Coturnix japonica: one gene and its partners. The protein of the gene in region 1 interacts with the protein of each later gene in a biochemical or structural test. Links are inferred from orthologs where the notes say so. Each region holds a gene or a part of one and is shown in the gene's direction. Other genes may lie near its edges. The genes, in order: VLDLR, DAB1 and RELN.

Region 1 (6,839 bases):
CTAGGGAAGCTGGGTTTCAAGTGTTAAAGAGCAAATTCGAGTCAGTCCACAAGTAAAGCAGAAGCTGCCAATTAGAGTACAGTGTTCCTGGCTTGTTCTAATGTTTTTATTGCAAATGAGTTGCCTGAGGTGTCCTCAGATAAATTTGCTGTAAGCAGAGTTACAGGGCTCCCTTCTGCCACAGCTACCTTGCCTGGATGGCTTAATGAGTTACAGATCTTTGAGCTTGTGCTCTGCATGTGTGGGGTAGCATCTTTTCTAACAAGCAAATGATTTAATCTGTTAAGTAAATTTACAGACAGCATTTCTAATGAAGTTGATAGAGCTATCAGCCAAGGTATACTGAGCTGCTAGCTACAGTGCTATAAAACCACTGTTATCTGTATCAGTGTAAGTTCTGTGACTGCTTAATGTCACAGGAACAACTTTTGCAAGATCTCAATCAGCTTATCTTCAGTGGCCAAGGTAAATGGACCACTGCTGTCCTGAGGATCTGTACAAAACACTTCAATTTCAAACTACAGAGCATGCTGACCATCTGGCTGCCAATGTCTTAGACCATACTCCAGAGTTAGCAATTCTCTTACCTTCTGTCTCTGGTTCACAGGTTCTGAGCCTGTTTTCCTAAGGGCTAGCATGCTAAAGCAGAACAAACAGGAGGTTATTTTAGCTCAGTAGCTCAGGACTGATGTTTCTCACTCTTAATGCTTAAGACAAAGAGAATTGTTCATATGTCACGTGTGTATTGTAGGTGATCAATTAGATTATCCTAAAGCCTTCTTTTTGCAGAATGTTGACCTAGTGTCAACTCACATCTGATGGAGCAAAGAAACTGAAAAGCAAAATATGTTCATTCAGAAGTCTTCCTGTGATAACCTGCTAATATTTTTTCACTCCTGTTACTCCAGGCAACGTGACTTGTAGTGCAGCAGAGTTCACATGCACTAGTGGGCAATGTATTTCCAAGAGCTTTGTCTGCAATGGTCAAGATGACTGCAGTGATGGTAGTGATGAGTTGGAGTGTGCACCTCCAACATGTGGTGTTCATGAGTTCCAGTGCAAGAGCTCCACTTGCATCTCTGCCAGCTGGGTGTGTGATGATGATGCTGACTGCCCTGACCACTCTGATGAATCTTTGGAGCAATGTGGCCGACAGCCTTTGCCTCCTGTAAAGTGTTCTACCAGTGAGGTGCAGTGTGGCTCAGGTGAATGTATCCACAAGAAGTGGCGCTGTGATGGAGATCCTGACTGCAAAGATGGAAGTGATGAAATAAACTGCCGTAAGTTAGCTTGATTCCTCTTCTATAGGAGGTGTTCCTTGGCCCCTCTTTTTTTCCTTTTTGCAGACTGCAGGAGTCAAATTGTCTAATGGCTGTCCCCACAGCTTCTCGGACCTGTAGACCAGACCAGTTCAGGTGTGAAGATGGGAACTGTATCCATGGGACTAGGCAGTGCAATGGTGTGAGAGACTGTCTAGATGGCACTGATGAAGCGAACTGTAACAGTGGTAAGTGTGCAGATTAACAAGACTGAAGACTTGCATAGTTTCTGAAGCTGGCAGCCTCTTCATAGTCTTCATTATCTCAGTTATTCAGTGTTCTGGACCTGGCAAATTCAAGTGCAGAAGTGGAGAATGCATAGATGTTAACAAAGTGTGTAACCATCAGGGAGACTGCAGTGACTGGAGTGATGAGCCTCTCAAGGAATGTAGTAAGTGAACGAACTCCTTATGTAGTACTGACTACTAAACACTTCCTGAGCTGTCAGTTGTTGGAATGAAATACTTATCTGTATTTACTTAGTAGCAAAAATAAACAAGAGTAACCCAGTTAATAGGGCTGTCGTTATCATAGTCAAACTGACTATTGGGATGACTTTGTGACCTGAAGGTACTTGAGGCCATTAAACTCTGAAGGTCAGAGGAGCCTCAGCTGCTGCTGCCCACTTAGAACACAAGCGTATTGATAGCTGGTCAAATGTGGTCTTGAGCATCTGGTACAGCACTCAGTGACTAAGATTTCAGGCCTATATATGTATGCTGTTTAAGAAATGACCTGTTCTTCTCTTCCAGACATAAATGAATGTTTAGTCAACAATGGTGGATGCTCTCACATCTGCAGAGATCTTGTTATTGGCTATGAATGTGACTGTCCAGCTGGGTTTGAGCTTGTAGACAAGAGGACGTGTGGAGGCAAGTATCAAATTAGTTAATAGTGAACATATGAGTTGTACTGTAGATGAGAACAAAATGAATTTGTCTTTACAGATATTGATGAATGCCAAAATCCTGGTATCTGTAGCCAAATCTGTATCAACCTGAAAGGGGGATACAAGTGTGAATGTAGCCGTGGCTATCAGATGGATCTTGCTACAGGAGTGTGCAAGGCTGTGGGTAAGTATTGGCATGAGACAATAACCATAAGCCTGGAAGTCATTCACTTTTAAGTGAGACAGTTAGTGATGTACATTTTCATGCTGCTGTAGTTATGACCCAAACTATGCTCTTAACAGCATAACTTGAATAGGCCTGAACAGTCCTAACATTCTGAGTAGTGCTATGACATGCCACTTAAAGCTACCATGTCTACATGACAGGTTTTTTTTTTTCCCAGGGAGGAGGGTGCTCACCATGAAGGGAGAAAAGAATGGGGTATGATACAGCTAAGATGTTTGTCAGTATCCATTTCCAAGTGTGAAATAGCAGATACTAAATATGACTCCTAAAAAGCTGTCTTAAAGGCCATTGGTTTGTGACTTGATGTCTAGAAACATAGTTAAATAATTACTTTTTCTGCAGGGAAAGAACCATGTCTGATTTTCACCAACCGACGGGATATCAGGAAGATTGGCCTTGAGAGAAAAGAATACATTCAGCTAGTAGAGCAGCTAAGAAACACAGTTGCTCTAGATGCTGATATTGCTGAGCAAAAGCTTTATTGGGCTGACTTCAGCCAAAAAGCAATTTTCAGGTAAATGGACTTATCCTCTGACTTAGTTCTACCTTAAGCATCCTGTATTTTACCCAAGATTCTTCTGTAGGCTTTTGTGCTGAGAGCTAGATTACCAATGACCAAGACTAAGCACAGCAGGTACAATCTCCTGGAGCTAGCATGTGCATACTTGTTGCACTTCTTTGTATCTGTTTCAACTGTGACCTTTTCATAAGGTGCCTGATTTGCGAGTACATCTTCTAGATTGCATGCAGCTCCTTGGCAGGCAGCTTTTGCTGAGGTGTGCAGAGCTGTAGTCTGTTAGGACAAAGAGGGGTAAAAGCAAGTAATTTTTGTTTTCCAGTGCCTCTATTGATACCCGTGATAAAGTTGGAACACACACTAGAATCCTAGACAACATACACAGCCCTGCAGGAATTGCTGTTGACTGGATTTATAAGAACATCTACTGGACTGACTCATCTGCAAAGACCATTTCAGTGGCCAGCCTGAATGGCAAGAAAAGAAAGGTTTTATTTCTTTCTGATCTGAGAGAGCCAGCTTCTATTGCTGTAGACCCTCTCTCTGGGTGAGTGTTTGTCCTAGTTCTCTGGAAAGAACAAATCTACTATCTACTCTGTGTTCTGATAGTCAATTTACACAGCCTTTGTCTAGCTACTTGTTAGCAAATGTAATAATTAAGAGTGATGCTACAGTATCTATAGTGTCATATAACATAAATTATGCTCCACAGCTTTATGTACTGGTCAGACTGGGGTGAGCCAGCCAAAATTGAAAAAGCAGGAATGAATGGATTTGACAGACAGCAGCTTGTGACAACAGAAATCCAGTGGCCTAATGGCATTGCTCTAGGTATGTTGAGTTTGTCTCTGTGCCACAGGTATTCTGGAGCTTTAGCAGTTTGTTCACTACAGAAGCCAAGGTCATCGTTCAAATAACTATTTTTAGCTTTTGATATTGGGAAGTTTTTGTATGCCTAGAGACACTACAACAGGCACAGCACTTCAGATGCTGAAATGGTAACTTTCCCTGCACTGCTGTGTATCCTACCTAAGGCATAGTGCAATTAGGCAGCACTACAGCAGTTTTCTGTATTCCCATGTAATAAGAAACTATATGGTAACACTGCAACAATTCTTGAGCGTGTGGGTGTTGTAGCTTTTGCAGGAAACTCTAGTGGTCTTACACACATAGCCAGTAATTGGTGGTTTGTGTTTTTTTTTTTCTCCCATCCTAGATCTTGTAAAAAGCCGTCTGTATTGGCTAGATTCTAAACTACATATGCTGTCAAGTGTGGATCTGAATGGCCAGGATCGCAGACTTGTGCTGAAGTCTCATATGTTCCTTCCTCATCCTCTTGCTCTAACAATATTTGAGGTAAGAATGGCTTGCTGCAGTACTCGTCAGAACTCTTCTTCCAAGTATGTGGCTAGCAATTATGGTGCTGAAAGAAATACAGAGATTATGGGAGTTAATGACTATTTTCTAGGATCGTGTATTCTGGATTGATGGAGAGAATGAGGCAGTCTATGGTGCCAACAAATTTACTGGAGCTGAATTGGTTACCCTAGTAAACAACCTCAACGATGCACAGGACATCATTGTTTATCATGAACTTGTTCAGCCTTCAGGTAACTACTAGACTTCGTAGTTCTATCAACATATACTTGCATGAAGCCTGCTGTGATTGTGTGTTAGCAAATGGTATCTTCCCCCTGTATAACTATCTAATTCATTTTGGTACTTGAAGCTTTTAGTCTAGCACACCCACTGGGTTTGAGAGAGTCTAGTTGCAATTTTTCTTGCTTGGGCAGATTAGATATAACCTGCAGAGATAAACAACTCAACTAGAGCAACTACTGAGCAAAAAATTATGCTGTACCTTTGGAGCATGAAAGCTCATTCCTGTCAATCACTTAAAATGAACCTGTACCAACAGGCAGGAACTGGTGTGAAGAGAACATGGTAAATGGAGGCTGTAGTTACTTGTGCCTGCCTGCTCCTCAGATAAATGAACACTCTCCGAAGTACACTTGTGCATGTCCTGCTGGATATTTCTTACAGGAGGATGGTCTGAGATGTGAAGGTATGATTAAAAAACTTCTTTCAGGATGGACGATGGGAGAATTGGAATCATGATACTAAGCCTGTAAGAGGCAAACATGACAGTACAGACTGACAGCTTTGCATGAGTAAATCTTATGCAACTTCTCTTAGTGAGGGTGGTCTTCTGGCATGCATTGAGCTACCCTCTAAGTCTGCAGATATTGTTCAGAGTTCATGCCTGGCTTCTGTATCATCATCATTTGCAATAAGACCTTGTGCTTCCACAGCTTTCTGCAGACAGCAGGCATATGCACGAAGCCTACCTAGTCCTTTTGTTAGAAACCAGGGGTATAAACTAACATTGCTGTACAGTGATTCAATCCATTATCTTGAAATGGTCATGGGTTAATCTTGCAAGTTTGTGTATTTCCTTTCCAGTTCCAAGCAAACCTGCTGCTGCTTGTACACTGAGCTCTGGCTGTGTGGCAGACTTGTGTGTCCAATCTAGCAAGAGTAGGATCTCCAAAGTGTCACTCAATAAATTGCATGTTGATTGACTGCTACAGTCAAAGCAGTGAATGTGAGGACATGGTTCTCCATTGGCTGAAGGTAGTGGCTGCTCTATAGGATGGATGTCAAAGGCTGTATTTGACCTGCAAGCTTTATGGAATCAAATATTCTACAGGGAGCGTGAAATGAGTAGGGTGGCTTATATTTTCAATTACTTCAGATAAAGCTTATGCCTGTTTAAGTGGCTCACGTGGTTCATGCAATCATTTATTTTTTTTTATCAACACTTTCAATGGAAGCTGTACTTAGTAAAATAACTAATGTCAATGTTTCCAATAAAGCTAACAAGCTGCATGACCATTCTGCCATCTGCTAAACATTTGCTGCCATGGCTGTCATAGTTAAGCCATTGCAGAACTTCAGGATTAACTGGGTTCTTGGTCTATAATTAGTTTCAGGTACTGGAACAACTGTGACTTACACTGAGGCTAAAGATACCAGCACAACTGAAAAATCTCCAACTGTTGGACTAGTTCCTGGAGGTACTGGTCCCATTAACTCAGATTACTAAACAAAAGATAAGAGAAATGCAGACTAACCCACTAGCATACTTGAAATCTTCTTTGCATGCAAGTAGAAAAAAAACTACTTCATGTATGTAGTAGAAATACAGCAGCTGGAGTATGCGATAAACATAATTTGTTCTTTTATGACTGCATGGAACCCACAGGTTCCATGAAATGCCAAGAGTGCTCAGAGAAGGGCAGCAAAAAATCTTACTGCTAAGATAAGATGAAGCGTCTTAGCACTGTTCTTGTATAACATTAATAATGTTGGAGCAACTTTTAGGCTTAATGTCTTAGTAAGAAATCTGAATAAATCTGCTATCTTGTGATTAAGAAACCTTACTACCTTATGAATTATTGTGCAGGATTCAACATCAGTAGTGTGATGTCTGAAGTAGCTGCAACAGGAGCATCAGGAGCTTGGGCTGTTCTTCCTGTCTGTGAGTACCATGTGTTGAGATCCTTTTTGGTGGGATAAGCTCTTTTTGTTCATAAGTTTGACTTGATACTACTCTATACTTAAAATGTATGTTTCTCCCTGAAGTATTGCTGGTGATGGCTGCAGTGGCTGGCTACTTCATATGGCGTAACTGGCAGCACAAGAACATGAAAAGCATGAATTTTGATAATCCCGTCTATCTGAAAACTACAGAAGAAGACCTCACAATTGATATCGGCAGACACAGTGGTTCAGTTGGACACACCTACCCTGCAGTAAGTAAACTGATTGATATATGCCTGAGGTTTTGGGCTAGTCCTCAGAGTG
Region 2 (8,011 bases), on another chromosome or scaffold:
ACCAGATCCTGGATCAGTGTTGGCCAGCAGCTCTGGGAACCTCCTTAATGAGTTCGGATGTACAGAGGAGTGCCACCTTCCGCTCCTGGCTCTGCTGAGTGCCTGGTGATGCTTCAAGCATCCTCACTGCTCCTCACTTCCTTAAGTGGCAGTACAAGTGATCCCTGGTATTTGGAAAGTAGTGCTTGAGGGGATAAAGTGTGTTGATAAACTCATCATGATATGGTTTCTAATAATTTATTGACTTCTCTTCACAGCAATAGTGGGATGCTTCTAATGCGGGGCCTTATTCTCAGTGGTGTCACTTGACATAATTCCACTGATTTCATTAACTTATACCCTGATTTCCTTCCCCTCCTCCCACTTTTTTTGGACTCAAATCAATCACCATGATAGACCAGGAAAATTGGTTTTATCATCCTTAGTCTCCAAATTGAATAGCTGCAGCAGCTGGATTAGGCTAATCCTCCTTTCTTGGACTTGCATTGCTGAACAGAACCACCCCTTGCCCCCACCCCTCCCTGCACATTAGGGGATTAAGCCAAGAGGTGCTTAAGAATAGCACGAATTGATACACATGGTTATGCAAATTGTATCATAGTGAGATTCTTGAAATGAACTTGAATGCTGGAATGACATCTTCAACATGGAGGATAGCAAAATAGCAACAGAAACTAAGGCTCAGTTTGAAAGGTGAATGTTGTGTGCCCGGACACATCACCCACAGACATCCCACAGCCTGTGTGCCCCCATTAGCAGGTGGGGAAGAGGGTTTGTCGCAAGCACAAGACAGCAGGTTGTACAGTGCACACAAACATTAAATACATGATGCCATTGACGCGGATACATGGCAGGGGGGAACAAAATGGCTGCACCATCTACAGGCTACAGGGGAGACTCAGTGTGTGATTAAATAATGAATAAAAGATCATCACAGAGGATAACGTTATACTGTAAATAATTCCATTTGTTTACTCTCTCCTGGCATTGAAGTTCATCTCCCTTGGAGACTTCTTTGACTTTTGATGCTGTTTTGCTTTGCATATGCTTGAATTCTTTCTGCTATCCACAGAACCTTCATAAGGGTTCAGAACTGACAGAACTAAGTGAATAATTCACAGCAAATAATTCCTTGGCTGCATTTTGCATCTTTATTTCTGCAAAACATCCATCCATGTTCTGTATGTTCTGCACTAATTTCTTGTTGAATTAAAGCACGACTTCCCCTCTAGCCACTGTCTTCCCGTTTTCATGAGCAGGTCAGTAAAGCCTCATCTGGAAGTAGTTCATTTTTAAAATGAGAAACAGGCATCATTATTATTTATAATTATTAATATATATAATTATTATTTGTGATTCTTGACTTTTGCCATTGAAAGCAGTGTTTTGGGAGGCAACAACTGCATAAAATTAATTATTCTTTCAGTGGATGAAGTGGGTGGGTGTGTACACTGTGGTTGGAACTCCAGATTAATATTTACACCTTAAATACTCATCTTAAGGTTGGAGTGAAGTGTAGGAGCACGCGGTGAATGTTAGAGTGATGCAATGCATTTTATGGGGAAGCACCTCAGCAATCCTTTTTAACTTGCTGCCTTTGGAAATGCCAACAAATGTGCCTTCACACCCCACTCTTCCAGCCCAGGGATAGAAGAGAAATGCCTTCAATTGTGATGATGGGGGCAGAGAGCACTGCAGTCCACAAGGATTGTTGGGATCTCTTGCTTTGATTGAGCATTTATCTACACCTATGAGATGTGGTACTATTCCTGGGCATGCCTAAGATTAAATATCTCTGCCTTGACTACATTAAAGATCAGAGGTCTGTTTTGGTAGGTGCCATCAGAGGACACATGTCTTGCTTGAGAAAGCCAATAATTTCCTAAAGTCATAAAAAAGAAGGAAAAAAAGCCCCGGCTGTGATGAAGGTGATGACAGGGCAAGTCATAATTCTCTTTTGGCAGACATTTGCATTCACGCTTGCCTGGAAGTTACGTGTCTGAGAGTTGCTGAGGGTAAGTACATTGGGTAGGTGTGATTTCCTCATGGCAATTTTGGGTCAAGCAGGCACCCTAACCTGGGGCACCCTTAGCTGTGCCTGGGTGCAAAGGGCAGCAGAGTGCATCCCCAGCTGCTCAGATGGGGGGCCTTTGCATGCCTGGCTTCAGGGATCTTTGCTAGCACCATGGGTGATACTTTTGGTTCTAAGCCCATAATGGTGAGACTTGGAAAGGAAATGTGCTATGGGTACAGAAGCAGGGAGACCTTGATGTCACTGTCAAGATGTGAGGGTGAAAGTAGCTTTTTCTTAACCCTTTCATTACCACATGGGACTTTTTGACTTGCAATTAAAGGAACCTCTGAGTTAAGCTGAACAACAGCTGAGCACAACAGAGTCCGTGCTGCATGCTGCTTTCTCAGAGCAATGTGTGCTGTAGCTGCTGAGTAACGTAACAGGGAAACCTCATTTCCATGCCAAGCTCTGCCTGCCCCAAGCAGAGCACAGCCCTTCCCTGGCTGTGGTTGTGGCTGCAGCATTATTCCCTCCTTTCTGCTTTTCCTGCCTCGTTCCCAGCTCTCTGCTCCTTGCTGCTCGGAGGCACACAGCCTCAGCAGCTCTGTGTGAGCTCACCAGCACTCTCCTTCACAGCATCCCTGGGCTTTTTGCTCAGCCATCTGCGTTAAGGAATAGAAATTAACAGCGTTTGCAGACAGACCTCATGCAGTCATCTCTTACAGACAGTTCCCGGTTCCTGTTTGGATGGGATTGCTGATGAGCATTTGCATATTTGATGCTCTCTGTACTGACTCGTCTGGTTAAGCTCTTTCCATGCAAGTTTCTCATGGGGTCCCCTCCCAAATCCAACTGACCACCCTCCCCCACTTCAGCAGGAGTTCTGCTAAAAGTAGGCAGGGGTCTGGAAACAGTGGAAGAATGCAGGTCATGAGATTGACAGGTGTTTTGTGCTGAGAGTTGTAATGGGGATGTGGTGGGATTGGAGCAGGTTGGGCTGGCGTGGATCCTCTTCCCATTCTCCTAAACCCCAGAAAGGAGCAGACTGGAAGCAACTAAGGATAAGGAGGGCAATCAGGGTATGGCTCAGTCCCATAGGCTGTCCAGCAGTTTTGTTCACCTGTTATTGTCCATAACTAAGGGATAACAAAGTGTCTGAAGCAGCTGTTATCAGATGGCTCAGGGCTGGCACCTGGATCCTAACAGGCAGGAGAAACCATCCGTGCTGTCACAGATACATGGCACAGGGGTGCTGGTGAGATGTTGGGGCTGTGAAAAATGCTGTCTCAGATCCACAGAACCACAGGGGTCAGGAGGAACTTCTGTACTTCCCCAGTCCAACCCCACTACGGCAGTTCTCTACAGCAGCTGCATAGGAATGCATCCAGGTGGGTTTGGATCTCTCCAAAGAAGGAGAGTCCCCCCACCATGTCTGTGCAGCTGTGCTGGGGCTCTGCTGCCTCACAGTAAAGTTCTTCCTCATGTTCAGATGGAACTTTGTCCCACCTTGTGCCCATTGCCCCTTATTCTGTCACTGAGCATGGCTGAAAAGCTCCCAGCCCCATCCCATCCCCCTGACCCCTATTAGATACTGAACAGGGCTGTTAAGATCCACTCTCAGCCTTCTGTTCCCCATTAGCACAACCCCGTGGCTGTCACCCTGTCCCCATCGGGAGATGCTCCAGGTCCCACCACCTCCGCATCTCTGCGCTGAGAGCTGCTCCAGGTCCCTCATTCACCCCCTGGGCGCCTCCTTCTGCCCCCGGCCGGGCGGGGGGATGCTGCCAGGCTCGGCCTCGCCCCTCTATTAGGGGGAATGCGGTAACGCGGTGGCTGCAGGGGCCGCAGAGCTGCGCGCGGAGCTGCGCGCGGAGTCGGGTGCGCGCATCGCTCCGCTGCCGCTGGAGGATGAGAACGGCGCTGCGGGCGGCCGAGCCGGGCTGCAGGTAGGGAGGAGGAGGCGGCCGGGTTGTATGGTGTGTGTGTACGGGGGTCCCGGCTCACTAAGGGGGGCCGTGGAGCGGGGGAGAGCTTGTGTGTAAAGTTTGGGCCGCTCGGAGGGAGGGAGGGATGGAAGGAGGGATGGAAGGAGGGATGGAAGGAGGGATGGAAGGAGGGATGGAAGGAGGGATGGAAGGAGGGATGGAAGGAGGGAGGCGGGGGCTGCGGGCTGCTCCGTTACGGAGGGGCGGCGGAGCTGCGTGGCCGCGGGGAAAGCCCCGCGTGGGGGGCGCGGAGCCGTTGGCAGCGCTGCAGCTGCCGGGGGAACTTGGGGCTGGTGAGCACCGGGCGGCTCGTGCCGTGTGTGTGTGTCTGTGTGTCTGTCTCGGTTGCTGTCCCCCGTCGGCTCCGCGTTCCTCGCGGTGCTGCCCTTCAGCCCTTCGCTGTGCCCCGCTGCTAACGGAGGTGCCCGCTTGGTCAGGTTGGTGAGCAATTAGGCGTAACCCCTTCGGGATGTGACTCCGCGGGGTCTGAGTCGCGGTGCTGTGAATTCCGGCTTCGGGCTTAGCGCCGGGATGGGATGGGTTGATGAGGGCTGCAGGGTGCAGCTGTGGGCACGGCTGGCTGCGGGGAACAGCAGCGCTGCTGTGCCGTCCTGCTTTCACATACGGTCCCTCCGCCGCTGCTCCAGTGTCGGTGCCCGGGGTGGGGGCTGTCTGTGTGCTCCGAGTGCTGCCCGGAGCCGTTAGCATCGCTCTCGTGTGATGACGCCGTTGTTGGATGAGCGCGGCTTGAAGCCGACGTGCCGCTCGTCAGAGCCCACGAGTTGTTTCTGAGCTGAATTTTGTTCTCGTGAGCGGAGAGGCATTTGCACTGCAGTGTTACAATACAGCCATATTAAAAAGGTCCTTGGAGCAAATAACCCTCCAGTGCTGCAGCGACGCGGCTTCAGTACTTCTATGAGCAATAACCGTGCTGGATTTCCGACCTGAACTGACTGTGTTCTTTTAATTGTGGTATTAAACGTTCATGGGAGCGGTAAGTGTGAGCTGAAACCTGGAAAGCAAACCCCCAACCCACCCGAAGCTTTATTCGGAATCAATTCATTTTTATTTATTTATTTATTTATTTGCAACAGGTCCTTCTGGCTTTTGCTTTCTGCTGTTAATTAATTGGCAAGAAGGTCTTTTCCTTGCATGTGTTTCCCTCGCTAAGCAGAGTGATGTTCTGGTGCTGAGCAGCAGCTCACGGTGCCGTGGTTGTCTTCCTTGGGTGGTTCAGTGTCTGTGGTGCTACTGGGGATGGAGGCAAGGAGGACCGGGGATAAGGAAGGAGGAGATGGCTGAGATGGGTGGCATTTGCAAATCAGGCAGTGAAGGTTTCTTATGACTTGGTGATGGTGTCTGTGGGACCTGAAATAAGCAGCTGAAATAACACCCTGCTTCGTGGTTGAAGGTCAGCGTCGGGTCCATCGCTCAAGCAGAGCTCTAAGCACCATTGCCATGGGTGGGAGAATGAGGGTGCAGGGGGGGGGGACCTGCAGGCTGATGTTTCCTTGACTGACAGACACTTAGGCAGCACCACGTGCCACTGTGATAATTTGGCCTCTCTAATGACTTCCTCCAGCAAGCTGATAGGGAATTAAAATGTTTGCAGATGGGTTTTGGAAGGGTTCATCAGGATGGGGAGGGAAATCCTTCTATTCTTAGATTTCTCTAATCCCAAGCTTCTGTTCCTGTAGTCATGCTAATTTTTTATTGATTGTTGTGGCAGAGGATGCTGTGTTGTAGAGAGCAGTAATTCCAATGTATCTGCTCCAGGCAGAATTGTCCTGGGAGGAAGTGGGAAGGAAGGAGAAGCTAAATAGAGACATGGTACTGCAGTCCCTATTAGAGATGCTCATAAAGCTAAGGTCATGGATGAACAGCTAGATGCTTTTACAATTACGTTTCAATGAATGGACTTAGCTGGAATCCTGTGTTTTCTGTAGAAGTGCCAGTAATTACTTACCTTGAGTGTCCTCCAGCTCAAGACCATTTCTCCATTGGAAGAAACTGTGGGAAGATGTTTGATTGAGGGTGGGCATTGTTTCCTGTATGGATGTCAGCAAAAGAGAATGAGCTGGAGTTGAGACTGGTACCCAGAATGACAGCACAAGAGGAACAAGAAGTTGGTCACTCTTGATGATCAACTTTCTCCTTAGCAGCACCATATGAAGGTCAGGAATGTAGTCTGTATTTCAGTCACCACCTGATTCTTACTTAATATTCTTATGTGAATCCATCTGCATGGATCAGATGAGCCTAAACCGTGCTTGCTTCTCTGTTGGCAACTCTTAATTTCACCAATTTCATGCTTTAGTAATATGAGTTTTTGCTGTTGAACTGCAGGAGTCTACATTGCTCCCTTCCACGCTATTTAGAGATGTAAGCAACAAACCCAACCCAGCACTGGCAGGTGTGGATGCTTTCAAAGCAACCTCTATTAAGTGAGTTCAGTTTTAATGGTGGTGGGGGGGAATGGAGGAGGGCTACAAAAATTGTAGGGAAAATGTGACATAATGATGTTTTCTATGCTCCTTCTTCTTCTGATTGCATTCTGCTTGCAATCACTCTCAGACTTTAAATGTCCTTCTGCTATTGGAGCACTCGAGAGTGAAGTGGGTAGCAAGTTTGTGGGTTGATGCTTTGCCAGGCACGCAAAGCAGGCTGGAGATGAAAACAAGCTATTCTCAACTGCTGATTATAGTTCTTGGAACAGGGAATGAAAGGTATTCTTCTGAGTAACCTGGAGAGCAAATGAAAATGACCCCTTAAACAGTGTCTATAAAACACCATTTTGGTTGAAATTGTTCTATTACAAGAAATACAGAGGATGAGAAACCTGAGCAATCTTGACAATCGTTTTGGGATTGTTCTACAAGAAGATCAAGGGCTTGCCAGATTTTGCTCTTATGCACATAAATCACCTTTCCTCCTCCTGTTCCATAAAATGCATTGGGTCAGGACTTTGCAGTTTGCCATCACATTATTTCAAGTACCTAACGTATAGTACCCATCACAAATAATAGGAGATCCATGTTTCACAGCCCTTAAATTTCTTCATTGCTATGCCAAGATAAAGAACTTCCAAATTTCTCATGCAAGAACATGCGCATGCACTCCTCTTTTATATCTGCAGATTGATGCGCTCAGCAGGAGCTTCTTTGATTCTTACAACACTTAAACGTGACTGACTCAATGAAAAACTGCTGTGTGAATATTTATTTACTCTAGTTTTAATGTAGCAGAGATCTATTAAGATGGAGCAACTACTTCTGGGTCCTTAAGCTGTGGATACAGCGCGGCAAATGACTGCGCTCAATTGTGGGACACTGGCCATGGTACCTGTACAATAACTGTGCCGTATGATAAGGAAAACAAATCCTACTGACGTCACTGGGATTTCTGATTTGAAAAGTTAAATATTCCTCAGTGAGAGCCGTAAGGGTATTACTTTGCCTCATGGAGGGCTTTCTCTGAGTAACGCATCCAAATGGATGTTGGGATTGCCCAACACTGATAATTCATGCACCTCTGGAGTGGAATTCAGCAGCCGTCGTGGGCTGGAAGCATTATGCAGGAGGGGTTTGGGGAAGAGAGATGAAGAAAAACTAATCCAATTGAAACTGTAAGGGGAATTTAGGAAGCAGAATGCAATTATCCGAGTTGGATATTGGCCAGGACATGTTAGTTAACATTTTTACTCTTGCAGGAATTGCCATGGGATCGTTAATGACGATGAGTGGTCAGGGCTCTGTTTTACATCTCATTTGAAAGCTTCAGCTGAGGAAGACATGAATGTTCTGCCTTCCTACAAGGTGTTTTGCTGTGGTCAGTGTGTCACCCACCCCATGCCCCCTGTGCTTTCTGGACACATCTGCTTTGCATCACTATGTAGCGTCCATAGTGAACCAAGGTGATGAAGCTTACTGAAAAGTAACTGATGTTTCAGGAGAACAATGCTCTAAACTGTTCTATGGTCATGATTTTCCATCCAACTGTGTGAACCTGAATC
Region 3 (7,471 bases), on another chromosome or scaffold:
TCACCATCAGCAATGGCATTGTGGTTTCAGGGCCTGATCGGGCGCAGTGGGCTCTGGATAACATTCTGATTGGTGGAGCAGAGATCAACCCCAGTCAGCTGGTAGATACGTTTGATGATGGTAAGAAAGGCTGTGACAGCTATTCTGTTGTCTGCTGTGGTTTTATTTGCGAAAAGGTCCGTGAACTTGCAAACACCTTTTTTCTCTTTTTTGAGCTCTTTTTTGTTGTAGACAACTACTGTTTATATCCTGGTGTGTAAATACGTATTTGCACATGAATTCAGGTGTATTTGTGTATATGTATGGGTATACCTGTAAGAACGGCATTTTTTTCAGTCTACCTCAATTCATGTAAATTTTTGAACAGGGAGATTTTATTTAATCATATTTTTGGAAATGCTGTTATTTTAAAATTTAAATTAGTTGTCTGGAGCTGACGTTTTTACTGTGTCTGCTAGTAGCTTAACTTACTGCATGTCACAACAGCTAGCAGAGATGTAGAGTTTATATCTAGTGATTCTGTGGATTCATAACTAAGCCTTGATATTTACCAAGACAATGCAGTAATTGTATTTAACTCTGTATGTTAACAGAAGGCATCTCTCACGAAGAAAACTGGAGTTTTTATCCTAATGCAGTCAGGACTGCAGGGTTCTGTGGAAATCCTTCATTCCATCTCTACTGGCCGAATAAGAAAAAGGACAAAACACACAACATCCTGTCCTCCAGGGAGCTCATTATACAGCCAGGGTACATGATGCAGTTTAAAGTAAGGAATGTTCTCTCTCTACAGCGTAAAGTATGCAATGAAAAACGGTCTAGTTTCTCTTCAGAAATTCTCCTTCTTCCAGCTATGAGGCATAACTGGATGAATAAATTATGACTTTAATTATTAGAATTTAAGAGAAATGTTGAAGTGTCGGTAACGAGTACCTGAAAAGTTACATGAATGCTAAATGATGGGTAATTCTGATTGCCTGCATCCTTCAGGGGTTACTGAGAAGGACTGGAAGTCTAATCCCTTTCTCCACAAATTACTGGATCAGCAGTGAGAATTATTTTCTAAGGTGAAAATATAAAGCATGCAGAATACAACATTTCCTCCACCTGGTGAATAAACAGAAAAGGGAATACAGAATTGGGCTGGAAACAAGCTGGCATATTGAAAATGCAGGAGAGCTCAGAGTAGAAGAACATCTCTGCTTATTTGTGTAATGAACAGTATTCTGAATAATCAGAGTAACATTTCTGGGTATTTTACTTAGTTAAGGTAGAATTCCGAATAGAGACAGTGGCAATCAGAAAATGCTTACGTAGTTGTTGCCTGGAAATGTTCTCGGTCTTTCCCAGAGCCAAGAAATAACATGAAAGCCAAGTCATACAAATAGTTGTCTGTTTTCTTGTTATGTTTCTTTCTTGCTATCTTTTTTATTTTTTACAGCTCTGGGATTTCCTGTTTTCAATCAATATTTTCTCAACACAGTTGCCTATTTTATATTGACTAATATACTCCATGAAAGCGATGCTGTGACCATTTATACACAGTATGCTGTCTTTAAAGAAATGATATAAAAGTGGAGTCTGACATGCTAGATCCTACTGCATGCCAAGACCTCTCTGAGCTGCTGCTACTCTTACCCGGCATATCATCATTTTCCTCTATTTTGAGGGCAAAAAGTAAGATAACCCATCAGCATTGGATTTTTCACATTACTGAGTAAGGTGTTTTTTCTCCAGACACAGCAAAGATTTTATTTCTAAACTAAGAATGCAGCTCTAAATATATGTCTGCCATTTTGTTTTGAAGTACTTAAAATTTAGCTTTGCGTTACCTCTTCAGTACTCTATAAAGGACGCTGTAATCTTTCTATTCTAACATGGCACAAATATGGTTACTGCTTGATACATGCAGGATAATTCTGTTCCTAAATTGGATTGACTTGATTTGACGTTCCCATTTTAATTATTATGATTCAAATATTTCATGGGCAGTTAATATGAAGTTAGGTGTTTCTCAAGTGCCAAGGTGCGCCCACCTCTCTGTGTCTCAGATTCAGTTTTTGTTTAGATAGCTAATTTGAAATTTGAGATAGCAGTGTTAGGATTCTGTTTGAAAATAACAGTGAGGTACAATTAAACAGTACTTGAAGTACTGTGTCTTTTGCTATTCATCCACTTCTGATGGATGTTTTTCCATGGTCTAAGTTTCTCTTTTAGGCAACCTGTAAAAAATAAAAAATAGAGCAACACTTCATCATATATCACATGAAATGTCTACCTGACCTGTTACAGCTGCCAATTTTATTTGTGCTATAGATCGTGGTTGGCTGCGAGGCATCATCTTGTGGGGACCTCCACTCTGTGATGCTGGAGTATACTAAGGATGCGAGGTAAATGAGAGCAGAATATACAGACTTAAAAAATAGTGTGCTATTAAAAACTTCAAGGGCTTTTATTTATTGAAGCATTCGCTTTGATGTTCATCTTGTAACAGGATCTGAACAAATTCTGTTGGCAAGTGCTGGGATTTCTGTACATAACTTCCATAAATTAACTTTATAATTTATCCCAGATGTTGACAGAGCTTGCAGTTGCAGTCATGCCCTTGTTACTGTTAAAAATGTGTTCACAGAAAACCACATTCATGGGATACTGTTGTTTTAGTATGGTATAGGAGTGTATATTTAGGACCAAACAGGTAATCAGGCAGAGGTTATTTAATTCTGATTTGGTCTTTAACTGACAAACAATAACATTATTTCTTTAATAGCACTGTGCTGTAGTATAATGGTGCATTATAATTTGTACAATTGAAGGCATATTTTGTACTTAAATGCTTGTAGGTAAATACGGAGCATGGAAAGTCTTCCATGGCTGCACCAGACTTTCATCCTCTCAACTCTTGTCTTTCTGTGGCTGCAAAGCATACAAAGACTATTGCTGGCAATCCTTTGGATTTGTTTAGTAAGATTGGTGAAGTTGTGACCTTTAGAGATTTCCTGTTTCCCTTTCATTATTCCGTCTGTAGTTCTAAGAACATAATTTTTTTGTTTCTTATAGGACAGATTCGTGGCAGCTCGTACAGACGCACTGTCTTCCTTCCTCATCTAATAGCATTGGCTGCTCCCCATTTCAATTCCATGAAGCTACCATCTATAACTCTGTCAACAGCTCCACGTGGAGAAGAATAACTATCCAGCTGCCTGATCATGTCTCTTCCAGGTAGGCTACCAAAAGGTCATCTCACTCTGGGTCTATAAAATGTCAGCTGTCTTGCTGGCACTGTTTGCTTTGGAACAACTGGTGGATTTAAAATGCTTCTTTATTGCTGGATTTAGGTCTGATGTAGAACTAATGTTTTTGAGAAAGCTTATTTAAATAGAAGTGTCTACTGCCAATAATATGGTTATGACCTGTTCAGGCTGGGTCTTTCTAGTTATTAAAGTCACAACACTCTAATGCAATTATTATTTTTTCTAATTACATCTTCTGCTGGAAAATTTGAAGTTCTCTGTACAAATGTGTTTAATTGTTACATATCATAATATCGTATTTGGGTTTTGACATTTGCAGTGCAACTCAGTTCAGGTGGATTCAGAAAGGAGAAGAACTAGAGAAACAAAGCTGGGCAATCGACCATGTGTACATTGGGGAAGCGTGCCCAAAGCTCTGCAGTGGTCGAGGATATTGCACAACTGGAGCTATTTGCATTTGTGATGAAGGATATCAAGGTTTCTTTTCTTCAGTTTCTTTCATATACAACTGCTGCAAACTAATGTAGCTCAAAGTTAAACAAAAAGATAGAGTGATATATCCTGTCTTAACTCATCACTGGAGTGCTTGAGTAACAGACTTTAAACTCATAATTTGACAGGGCTGCAGCTAACAGCTTTTCCTTCCATTTATTCTTTCTGGATTGAATCACTAGTCTCTGCTGTCTGGCACTGTATTTAAAGCCCATTCAATCTTTGTTGGAGCCAGGAGGTGGCTACCTTCTTAGCCAGATATGGCTTTCAGCCTTCTACTCCTTCCAAGGGTGCAGTCACTCCCAGGGGAAGTGTACACAGGATCCAGAAGTTGATGGCGCCTGTAGGGGATTCTGCTCTAATGCCTCAGTCCAGATAAGCACATATCTAACGGTACCTGAGTGTCCTCATTACATCCTAACTGCTTTATGGGAGTGGAGCCAAAGTGTTTAGAGCCATCCAGGGCAGTCTCGTAACTTTATGAGATCAGATTCCTTCCCAGTTTTAAACACATTTCCCCTCAGGTGTCAATTTGAGGTTTCTTATGATGGCACCAATGGAAAATAGGGGAAGCTCTATTGCAATCCTTGAAGTTGTACTGATGTAAAAAATAACAGATTGGCAGCTTCAGTTTCATAAAACTGAATGCTGTGCAGCAATGTGCACACTATTAATGGATCTGCTGAAACATATTCAGCCTGTAGTCACTCCGTTTATTGAGCCACTGACTTGAATGCAATTACAATGGATTTAACTGAATTTTCCCAATTTTTTCATTTCTTCATGTTTTATAACTTCACTGTTTCATTTTTAGGTGATGACTGCTCTGTTTTTAGCCATGATCTACCCAGTTATATTAAAGATAATTTTGAATCTGAAAGAGTCACTGAAATAAACTGGGAAACCATTCAGGGGGGAGTGATAGGGAATGGATGTGGACAGCTGGCACCCTATGCCCACGGAGATTCACTCTATTTTAATGGATGTCAAGTACGACAAGCTGTGACTAAGCCTCTGGATCTCACCCGAGCAAGGTAATACTTTAAGCATAAAATGTTCCTTCAGCAGCTTATGAGAAAGGAAATTTTTTCTATGCATGTGAAGCCATGTGAGGCAGTATTGAAGAGGATAAACTAACTTGGCTTTACCATGCAGTCAGATGTGGTTGGCAGATAAACAAAATGCTTTGTGACTTTCATTTGGGAGATAGAATGAGGAGGAAGCGATGTCAAATGAAAAGGTCAGCTGTTTTCATCATGTCCAACAGAGAGCTGCCTTGTAAGCCAGAACTGACACTGAAGCCATTGGCAAAGACTGGATACCAGACTGTCTGGACCAGTGCCTGATCTGATAAAACAAATGCCATGTTTGCATGTGCCTCCAATGGCAGTCATGAGTGAAGATGCTATCAGTAATTACGGACTCATTTTCCTGTTTCAGTTGTCAAATAAAATTGTATTCACCTGGAAATGAAAATGAGCATCTTTTTCTTCTGTTAAATCTCTTTAGCCACAGAAAAACAAACATAACCAGCCTGTGCTGACCCTTAACAGAGTGACAGCTTTCTGGACTGGTTTTGTCTTTAACTGTCTAAAGAATTATTAGAAACAGAGTGAATCAGCAAATGGGCCAGATATGAATCAGACTCTTTGTTTCTTATTTGAATGCCTAGGTAGAATATTAGAAATCTTTTCAGTACTTTGTTCAACTTTTATTTGCCCCTTTTTAGCTTTTCATATATTCATTTGCATGTTTGTTCTATCTGTATATCTCGTTTGAGTAAAGGTACATTGTAAAACTGGATCTGTTGCCTTCAAATATATGGATATATGCTGTACACAGCGAAATGTTTACTTTGAAAAAGGAGCTATGTTTTAGATGTGAGAACAACTTATTTTACGTGTTAAAAGTAACAAAACTTGAGAATCCTGAAATTTTTAATAACTGTGATAAATGTGGAAATACAATCGTTCTTGTCTGGATACTTATTTGCGTATTGACAATACCTTTTCTCTTGGTGTTTTACAGCAAAATCATGTTTGTTTTGCAAATTGGAAGCATTTCACAAACAGACAGCTGCAATACCAATCTAAGTGATCCTAACACTGTAGACAAGGCAGTGCTCCTCCAATACAGTGTAAATAATGGAATTACATGGCAAGTAATTGCACAGCATCAGCCAAAGGACTTTATACAAGCCCAAAGAGTGTCTTATAATGTTCCCCTGTGAGTACCCAGTCACATTTCATTACGTCTAAATGCACAAGATACATTTATTGTAGGAAGGACTCTATTTTTGCATCACTGCAAGAAAAATAAGGTCGATGAGAGGGTAGGCAAAAGAAGGAAGTGTAAGGGGAAGGCTGATTAAGGAAGAACAGGAGAGTGCTTATCAAATACTTTGGAAAAAGCATAATTTGTGTTTAAAGGATAAGAGGAAAATATATTTAATTCTTCCTTTTGTGTATGCATTTTTCACCTTTGAATGTTTTGTGCTTACAGCCTGCACAAATAGCGCTTTGGCTTTGCTCTCATTTCCTGATGGGGGGAGACAGAAAAGTGCAAGCCTTTGGTAGTCTGGAGCTCTCATAGGATCTTGTGTTTGTGATGACAGGGAGGCACGAATGAAAGGAGTCTTACTGCGCTGGTGGCAGCCCCGTCACAATGGAACAGGTCATGATCAGTGGGCTTTGGACCACGTAGAAGTTGTTCTGTGAGTATCAGCTTCATCTCATCCCACCCCATCTCAGAAATACCTCCAGCATGGCACAAGTGTTAAACTCAGTAAGAATCACTTTGGCCCAGGGAAACCTTTGAGAGTCAGTCTTTGTTAATGCCTTGCCCTGACTGCAACCAGCAGCAGTTAAGATGGCAATGAAATATGTGGCACAGCAGGGGTAGGTGTTGTGCTCTTGGAAGAACACAGGAGGGAAAGCGGGGCTTTATCACCAAGTATTGGTGTGTTCCTGTAGTGTAGCAATGACTGTGAAATATATTCTGCTGGAGCATAGATAAAAGGATATTTCTGTTCAGTACTGTGCTACCATGTAAGGCTGATTTATATCCTTTCAAAGATACAAGATGCTGTATTGCTCTTTGCACAGAGTGTTGTTGTTGTGCCTCTGAAAAATTTGCATTAGCAACTAATGCCTTATTCATTTCCTTTTTTAGTAAGAAGGATACTGTTCAGAAACAGGGTTCACTATATCAGGTTCCTATGGTCTGATCTATATTCATCCCCTTGACAAGATTTTACCAAGTAAAGTGTCTTCACCCTCCCGGTTCTCCCGCTATTAAGATGGGTTTTGCTCACAGCTAACCCATTTTCCTGTGTTACGTCACAAAGAGATGACCTGCTTTTTCTCTAACAATTTAGTTCCAGTAGAAGTGAAATGCTAGTGGCTTCACGGGCTGGAACTCATCGCTGACAGTGGTTGGCAGAGAGAGGCGTGCCTGCTCCATAGATAGGTTCAAACATTCCTTTTATTGAATAATTTACAAACCAACAATGAGACATCAGGCTTGGATAACATCCAGAATGTGTAATTATAAGGATTTTGTCTTTAAATTTGAATTAGCAGAGAAACTGCAAGTAATATTTTGTAAAATTAGAAAACTGGATTATCTGATTGCAAGTTAGCCCTGTACTTTCCACCAAGCAGCACCAGCTTGCATGGCACTCATATCAACCCCAAGCCAAACTGGTCCCCACACTGAGTAACTGT

The links.
Region 2: the proteins of VLDLR (region 1) and DAB1 form a complex in vitro, tested with the Homo sapiens proteins (2 studies listed by BioGRID). The link is inferred for Coturnix japonica from reciprocal best matches to the Homo sapiens genes VLDLR and DAB1.
Region 3: the proteins of VLDLR (region 1) and RELN form a complex in vitro, tested with the Homo sapiens proteins (6 studies listed by BioGRID). The link is inferred for Coturnix japonica from reciprocal best matches to the Homo sapiens genes VLDLR and RELN.

The regions. Positions count from the first base shown.
Region 1 is NC_029547.1:24,163,812-24,170,650, forward strand, and holds part of VLDLR (very low-density lipoprotein receptor), read left to right. Parts: intron 1-908; coding exon 909-1,280; intron 1,281-1,384; coding exon 1,385-1,507; intron 1,508-1,587; coding exon 1,588-1,710; intron 1,711-2,071; coding exon 2,072-2,191; intron 2,192-2,266; coding exon 2,267-2,392; intron 2,393-2,797; coding exon 2,798-2,969; intron 2,970-3,294; coding exon 3,295-3,519; intron 3,520-3,684; coding exon 3,685-3,803; intron 3,804-4,188; coding exon 4,189-4,328; intron 4,329-4,440; coding exon 4,441-4,582; intron 4,583-4,890; coding exon 4,891-5,037; intron 5,038-5,959; coding exon 5,960-6,049; intron 6,050-6,438; coding exon 6,439-6,513; intron 6,514-6,617; coding exon 6,618-6,787; intron 6,788-6,839. UniProt on the Homo sapiens protein: Multifunctional cell surface receptor that binds VLDL and transports it into cells by endocytosis and therefore plays an important role in energy metabolism.
Region 2 is NC_029523.1:23,460,442-23,468,452, reverse strand, and holds the start of DAB1 (disabled homolog 1), read left to right. Parts: upstream 1-3,900; 5' UTR 3,901-3,960; intron 3,961-4,704; exon of another isoform or gene 4,705-4,993; intron 4,994-8,011. UniProt on the Homo sapiens protein: Signaling adapter of the reelin-mediated signaling pathway, which regulates the migration and differentiation of postmitotic neurons during brain development.
Region 3 is NC_029516.1:11,729,451-11,736,921, reverse strand, and holds part of RELN (reelin), read left to right. Parts: coding exon 1-120; intron 121-593; coding exon 594-769; intron 770-2,316; coding exon 2,317-2,390; intron 2,391-3,060; coding exon 3,061-3,222; intron 3,223-3,573; coding exon 3,574-3,731; intron 3,732-4,560; coding exon 4,561-4,780; intron 4,781-5,774; coding exon 5,775-5,972; intron 5,973-6,360; coding exon 6,361-6,459; intron 6,460-7,471. UniProt on the Homo sapiens protein: Extracellular matrix serine protease secreted by pioneer neurons that plays a role in layering of neurons in the cerebral cortex and cerebellum by coordinating cell positioning during neurodevelopment.